Ovis aries: one gene and its partner. The protein of the gene in region 1 purifies or fractionates together with the protein of each later gene. This does not show direct contact. Links are inferred from orthologs where the notes say so. Each region holds a gene or a part of one and is shown in the gene's direction. Other genes may lie near its edges.

Region 1 (4,212 bases):
TCAGATGGTCACCTCTGACCGCGACCCCTCCGGCGACGAAATACAGGAGAACCTAGAGGGGCGGCGCCGCCTCCAGTTCTCCGTCGGCTCCACTCAAGCTGGTTATTTCTTCTCAGCTCCAGCTCCTTTCCTCCAGCCGCTGCTGTTCCAGAAGCTCCGGGCTGTTGGGTCCTCGGCTCCCAGGGGCCCTACACGGTGGCGGGCAACTGAGGAGGGGCGAGGGGAAGGCGGGCCTCGGGCCGGTAGCGCGCAGCTCTGCGGAGCGCGGCGCGGGGACCTTGCTCGCTGGGTGGAAGAGGGGGCGCTAGCGGGCAGGAGGCCTTGCCCGGGGGCCGGGGCGGGCGCGCGGGCTCTGGGGTGACGCCTGTGCAGCCCCTCGGGGACGCGCCCTCTGTAGCTTCTGACTGGGAACCAGACTGCCGCCTCCGAGCAGCCCTCCGCATCACTGCCTTCGAGCTACGGGTGGAGCCCCGGGAGGCAGGCGAGGGAAGCGGGGGCGTGACTGGGGCGCTGAAGTAGGCGAGCCACAGGGCGCCGCGCCACAGCCGCGCCGGGCAGCAGTAGGGCAGCCGGAGGGGCAGCGACATCTGCGGGCGGGCGGTCGATGCTTTCTGGCGGCGCGGAGCAAGCGGGGCGGCCCCGAGGACTCGGGCCGCGGCGAGGCTGGCGGGCCTCACTGCCGGTGGACGGACGGCAGACTTGCCAGTCCCGCTGGAGCCCAGGCCTCCAGCGCGTGGCCCCGGGCTCAGACTGTAGAAGAAGCGATGTCCCTGGCCGCGCTCTTACATTTATCCCCCTGCTCGGGTAGCTGGGCGACGTCCGTGAATCTTCGGTTTATCAGGTCACCTCGAGGGACTCAGGGAACCCGTTTTTCCAGCTGGGGATAGTGATTATTGTCGTTGCCTCTTGCCTTCAGAAAGTTATTCTGACACGGTTGATCAGCCAGCCAGAGTAAGAAGGGAAAATAAACAGCGTGGTCTGTCCCTTGGTGAGGCGATGTACAGGGATCCCGCCAAGTTCGCAGAGCCAGTTTTAGGCGGAGCGGCAAACACAGCCCATTGACAATTCAGCCCCGGAAAGGGTTAACTGCATCCTGCGGGTTCGGTTTACATGTAAATAGAGAGCAGCTGCTCCGCGCGGGCCCCAGTTGGCCCTTTTAAGTTTTTGATTGGTTGCCAATGACATCACCGTCCGTATTATAACACAGTGGACCCAAAGCGGCGTCGGATAAACCCTCCTTAAAGAGCCATGGCCACGCCCCGGCTCCGCCCCCTCCAGGTGCCCATTGGTCGCGGGCTGCAGCGAAGTAGCGGTCAGGTTTCTCCGGATTCTTATTGGTTCAACACGCCGTCGGTCGGCAGCCGGCCCGCCCCCTCAGAACCTTACATTTACAGTGTAGCAAAAGAGAAAGTAACTATGTTGCTGCTGGAGATCAATGAAGCCTAGTGAATGAGGGCTGAATGTGCGAATCCCTTGCTGAAGCGGAGCGCCAGATGGTGGAGGGTTACACTTATTTATGAAGTAAGTGGAAGTCACCGTGGCTACTCCTGAGAGTCCAGGGGTTTGAGGCGGTGTGAGTGTGAGTGAGTATGTATGTGGTGTGTGTGTGCGCGTGTGTGTTGCGATGTTTACGGAGGAGCCACAGCAGGTGAGGTTAAAGTGTTCCCGCTGTTGGCTCACGCCGCCCTGTGCGTTTACTCTCTCTGCAGTCTACTTGGACTGGGGGCGAAGGAAAAAATGAGGTTTGTTGGGATGCTTTGCGGCAGTTTTAAAGGCCAGGGACTTGTTAGTGCGCTGTGTTGCGAAGGAGGATGTTAAGTGCCCCGAAGTGGGGAAGCAGCATTCTCTGACCACTTAATTTTCTTTCCAGCCGCTAACTAGAGGTGGAAGGGCGACTAGAGAGGGAGGGGGATAGCTCAGTGTTTTTCGGGGAGGTTTCCTACAGGCTGTCTGGATGGTTTCACGGGCAATAGATATGCCCGACCCTCTGCTGCAGGGATGCAGGTCTCTTTATACACTCCGTGCGTGTGTGTATGTGTGTGTGAGAGAGAGCGAGCGTGTGTGCGCGCCGCGCACTCTGTGTGGAGGTGGGGGTCCCAGCTTATGTCTCCGTGAGCACGCTTCTGCGTCCCTCTCAAGGGAAATGGACTGTTGATCCTGGGACGTACCCTACCAGGTAACACAACAGCAAAGACTTTTCACCGCTGGGTCCAGCTGGGAAACAGTTATAGCTTCTGGAATAGTACTCGCTCTTCAAAAAATACTACGCAAGGGAGGAAGGGGCGGGGGAGGGAGGGAAGAAAGGAGAAAGGGAGGGAGAACAGGGGTTGGATTCTTCTTGCCCATCCAAAGGTGGTGAGAGAAAGCTGAGGCCAGCGGGGGGATCTGTGGATGTGATAGGTGCGTGCCCGTGTGTGTGTGTGTGTGTGTGTGTGTGTATTCTGCCTGTGACATTTTGGCTCTGTGTCTGAGAATGGTGACAGTCCTGTGTAGAGGGATGTTGGATGACATTTTTCCAGACATCTCTTAAAGTTGGTTTAGATGAGCTCCTCTTGCATGGCGTTTGGTGTCTCCTCTGTGTGTATGTCTAGCAGGAGAGGAGCCAGCAGGGCCCGGGAGTGGAGTGCCTCTATGCCCATGGGGAGGAAGGAACTGTCCCTTTGCAGGTACCCTCTCATGAGCCAGGACATAGACCCCTGTGGGTGACTCTTTACTTCTCACTGGGAAGTCTTTATGAATCCATCCTCTTGAAGAGGGGGCACGTCTGTGTGAGATCAAAAGATTATGCATAGTGGCTGCCTTCTGCTGAGAGAAGCTCTAGGATGTTCCTGTAGGGAAAGGAGGAGAATGGAGGGTTGAAGTGGTCCTTTCCTTAAAGGCAGGAGTGGAGTGGGTGGTGTGGCAAGGGAGACATCTGAGGGATGGATCTGTCAGGGTCAGGGTTTTCAAACCTGCTTCCCTAGCTTGAGGCTTCATTTTAGGGGACCAGTATGTAATGAAAGAGGAAATGCAGATTACTTTATAAATAAGAGGGCAATAGGAAACAAGGGAGGTTTTAATATGACTTTGTTGTGCTTTTCAAAGGACTTGGGAGAAAGAAAAGTAAGAATAGCTCAAAATTAAAGAGATTCACTTAGAGGGCTACTTTCATTCTGATGTGCAGAAAGTTGACATCTGCCCCTGATGTATATTTAGCTGCTGTATATTCCCATGAGCCTTGCCAGCACTCTTGGTCATTCCTTTGCCTTTGCAGTGGCTGAAGGAATTACATGGAAAGTATGCAAGGGTGGACGTATGGGTCCTTCTCAGATGATTGCAGTATATTTCTGCCCTGGAGATGAGGCCCAGAAGAGATGCCTCTTAAGAACCTTCCCTTCCATCTTGAGCTTTTCTGATCCTTTGTGCTTGTACTTTTTCTAAGGCTGAACTTGGATGTGGGTCCATGAAAGGTTGTTCAACATTTGCATAGACTATATCTAACCTTAGACTCAGCAAGGACAGGGGGTGGGGAGGGGGATGGTCCTCAGGCGTGCATCCTCTTTGAATCCATAGTGGTGAGTGTCAAGCTTTGAGTGACAGGAAACTGGGCACTTAGGACAACTTCACTAAGAGGGATGCAAAGTCCTTTCCTAGGGATTGGATTCGACTGCTTTTTGTGTCACATGACTTTATTCTTTCTTTCCCCCCCTCCCCTTCTTTACAGACTGTCTTGAGTTCTTCTTGAATTGCCAGTTTTCAGCCTCCTCATGCCTCCGTCTCCTTTAGACGACAGGGTAGTGGTGGCACTGTCTAGGCCCGTTCGACCTCAGGATCTCAACCTTTGTTTAGACTCTAGCTACCTTGGCTCTACCGCCCCTGGCAGTACCAGCCACCCTCCTGTCATCGCCACCACCGTTGTGTCCCTAAAGGCTGCGAATCTGACGTATATGCCCTCATCCAGCGGCTCTGCCCGCTCCCTGAATTGTGGGTGCAGCAGTGCCAGCTGCTGCACTGTGGCAACCTACGACAAGGACAATCAGGCCCCAACCCAGGCCATTGCCGCTGGCCCCGCCACCACTGCCATCGGAAGCTCCACCACCTGTCCTGCCAGCCAGATGGTCAACAACAATGAGAATGCAGGCTCTCTAAGTCCATCAGGTGGGGTGGGCAGCCCCGTGGCAGGGACCCCTAAACAGCTAGCCAGCATCAAAATAATCTACCCCAATGACTTGG
Region 2 (3,500 bases), on another chromosome or scaffold:
TTTTCATGAAATGATGGGTGAAAAGAATGGTTAAGAGAGTATGACAGGTCGGGAATTAAAGATAGAAACGACTCTGTATTGCTGCAAACGGGAACAGAAGCTAAGCTACGGAAGTTCACAGGAAAGCGACTGTTCACAGGAAAGTGACTGTTGTTTTAAGATGAGAGGGGAAAAAATTATGTTTGATTGGTGATGGAAAGCTCCAGTGGAGAGCAAAATGGTGGTGGTGTACCAGTAGGAAGAAAGGCATCACAGGGCACAAGAGGGCCTCCTCCTTTGTTCTTTGAAGAACGTATGTTAGTTCCCTAGGTTCTTTCACAGTAATGTCATTTTATTTTTCTAAGACATACCTCAATTAATAACTTTAAGATCCTGTTTGTTTATTTGATTCCTCTGGTTTGTGTTCTCTTATATAATGTTTATGGTTTTAGAATCACTTTCCACATTCATCTTGCCGGTTATCTCAAGCTCCCAGAAAAAGAGACAAAGCTGGCCTTGTCTCCATTTTACAAATAGGAAGATGAGACCCAAGGGAGATTGACTTCCTGACACCCAGTGAGTAACTAATACACAATGGAGTCTGAAACCTAGGTCATGTACTTTGAAAGGAAATAAAACACACTCATTTATATTGCAATGATAGCCAGAGTCAGTACCAAGTAAAACTGAATGACCTCTCGAAGCTGTCGCTGCTCAATGTAAGCCCAGCTACAGTGGGAGATAACATGATGAGGGCTCAGAAAGTCCAGAGCCCCGGCTCCCACCCCCTCTCTCGTGCACCCCATCCTGCCAAGCCTACAAGGTGGTTCCCAGCCGTAAATTGAGCAGTCAGGTAGCTCTCCTTATTTCAGGGAGCTTTATATCTAACATAGCTTTACTACGAGAAGTGGAGGTGTGAAAGTCACTAATAATGAGCATGTGAGCGTGAACGTGAAAGTCACTCAGTCGTGTCCAACTCTTTGCGAACCCATGGACTGTATAGTCCCTGGAATTCTCCAGGCCAGAATACTGGAGTGGGTAGCCTTTCCCTTCTCCAGAGAATCTTCCCAACCCAGGGATTGAACCCAGGTCTCCCGCATTGCAGGCAGATTCTTTACCAGCTGAGCCATACAGGAAGCCCAAGAATACTGAAGTGGGTAGCCTATCCCTTCTCCAGCGGATCATCCTGACCCAGGAATCGAACCAGGGTCTCCTGCACTGCAGGCGGATTCTTTACCAACTGAGCTATCAGGGAAGCCCGTTATTGTGAGAACTGATTTCAATTTGCCTACATAATTATTACCTACTTTCATGTTTAAGCCTTTCAGTCATAGGCATTCTTCAGCTTCAAGATAACTTCATTTTGATCTAGAGTAGGAAGCCATAAAGACTTCATTGTGTTGATTTAATAAACTGTGACCAGAGTTTATATGGTGCAGAGTTTGTTTGTTTGTTTTTTTAAATACTCTTAACTAGGAACCCAAACCTTATTTGAATATTATTTCAGAATGCTTCTGCTGACCCAGGGAGCTGTCCTGATTAATTATTCATTGATAAGTATAATTTAAGTGTCTCTTTGAATGATGCAACTTTATATAATATGAATATAAGGCATTTCAGTTGTATTTTCCTCAAGAAACTCCTTAGATATTGATCAGTGGAATAAAGTTATTGAGCAGCTAGGAACACCATCTGCAGATTTCATGAAGAAACTTCAGCCAACTGTGAGGAATTATGTAGAAAACCGACCAAAGTATCCTGGAATCAAATTTGAAGAACTCTTTCCAGATTGGATATTCCCATCAGAATCTGAACGAGACAAAATTAAAAGTAAGATATCCTTTTTTCTTATACTTGTTTTCATAATCTGGTGAAGCCCTGTTTATGTTTGCATTCTAAACTCTGTGAAAACTGAAAGATGAAATAGTTGAAAACCGTCAAAGTCATTTATAGGCAAGAATGAAGCCATTTCAGAAAGAAAGCCTAAAGACCTAGAAGTTTTGTCCTCAATAAAGGGGACAAAACTGAAGCCTCTGGTCAAAATATTTACATAGTCTGAAAGATTCTTATATTAGTTACAGCAAATGGAATTCAAACTGTTACCAGGTATAAAGAATACTTGAATAAAGATTGTCGCCCATTTGAAGAGTCAGAAATTTTTAAAGGCCTTTTCCCCTGATCCTGTGCCCATCACATTTTAATGTGTTTAAAGGAAAAGAATAGATTTGGTTTTCTCTGCATCAAGACAAACTGTGCCTCATTCAGAAGAGTTCCATCTCTCCTTTGCCTGCACACGTGAACTTTATTTGGTTTTGGTATTCATTTGGCTGTCCTGGGTCTTTGCTGTGGCGTGTGGGGTCTTGGGTTGCGCGTGCAAGCTCTCAAGTGGAGCATGTGAGGTCTAGTTCCCTGACCAGGGGTTGAACGTGGCCCCCTGCACCAGAAGTGCAGTGTCTCAGCAACTAGAGCACCAGGGAGGTCCCACCTGTGAATTTTAGTTGCTAAAACCTAGGTGAGCCTTGTATTTAACCAAGTTATTGAATTTGTTGAGTTTTTTCCTAGCTACTAATCTCTAGATTTTTTTTTAAGTGTACATTGTATACAGGTAGGCAAAGCAGAGGGCTTCCCTGGTGCAAGATACCTGGGCTCGATCACTGGATTAGAAAGATCATCTGGAGAAGGGAATGGCTACCCACTCCAGTGTTCTTGCCTGAAAATCCCAAGGACAGAGGAGCCTGGTGGGCTAGGGTCCATGGGGTTGCAAAGAGTCGAACACGACTGGGAGACTACGCACAGCACAGGCGAAGCAGAGATATCTGTGAGCTGCTGTATACGATGCGCATATGAAGTTGTTGTGTGGCTTAGTCTGCTCGGTTTCACTTTGATGTGGCATCAAGAGAAAAGGCCTGCCCGTGCTTCATGCCTGCACTCTCGGCAGTGCCACCCTCGGCTTAGCTCCAGTACCCTCCCTGTCCATGGCTTGTCAGCCTTCTGCCCTGTCCTTCTCCCCTCCCAGACTCAGGGCAAAAGCACCTTGGAAAGCCTGGTTTCTAGGAAATGGCTGCTTGATTTACTCTTAAAGAAAGAGACTAATAATCCTGAATTTATCACCAGTTTCTCAGAGTTAGTATATCTTTGTTCTGTCTGAGCTGTCACAGTTAGTTCTTTATTGTGTAATTCTCAGGATAAAATTGTTACTTTATTAATCTAATATTTGTTTTTACCCTAGCAAGTCAAGCCAGAGACTTATTATCAAAAATGTTAGTGATAGATCCCGACAAGCGAATCTCTGTAGATGAAGCTTTGCGTCACCCTTATATCACTGTCTGGTATGACCCTGCTGAAGCAGAAGCGGTAAGCATCTATTTTGAAAAGACTTGTGTGTAAAGGCAGGGCATACATTTCCCTGGATCTTCTGTCAGTCTGAAATGGCTACACAGAGATTTAAGGTTAAAAGTACTCCTGATTACTTTGAGGCCATATGCTGCTGCTAAGTCGCTTCAGTCGTGTCCGATTCTGTG

Evidence for each region.
Region 2: the proteins of DUSP10 (region 1) and MAPK9 purify together in Homo sapiens (affinity purification with mass spectrometry; 3 studies listed by BioGRID and IntAct, with this or other methods). This does not show direct contact. The link is inferred for Ovis aries from reciprocal best matches to the Homo sapiens genes DUSP10 and MAPK9.

What each region holds. Positions count from the first base shown.
Region 1 is NC_056065.1:24,475,604-24,479,815, reverse strand, and holds the start of DUSP10 (dual specificity protein phosphatase 10), read left to right. Parts: upstream 1-1,412; 5' UTR 1,413-1,521; intron 1,522-3,703; 5' UTR 3,704-3,746; coding exon 3,747-4,212. UniProt on the Homo sapiens protein: Protein phosphatase involved in the inactivation of MAP kinases. Has a specificity for the MAPK11/MAPK12/MAPK13/MAPK14 subfamily. It preferably dephosphorylates p38.
Region 2 is NC_056058.1:773,957-777,456, forward strand, and holds part of MAPK9 (mitogen-activated protein kinase 9), read left to right. Parts: exon of another isoform or gene 1-1,408; intron 1,409-1,626; coding exon 1,627-1,809; intron 1,810-3,208; coding exon 3,209-3,333; intron 3,334-3,500. UniProt on the Homo sapiens protein: Serine/threonine-protein kinase involved in various processes such as cell proliferation, differentiation, migration, transformation and programmed cell death.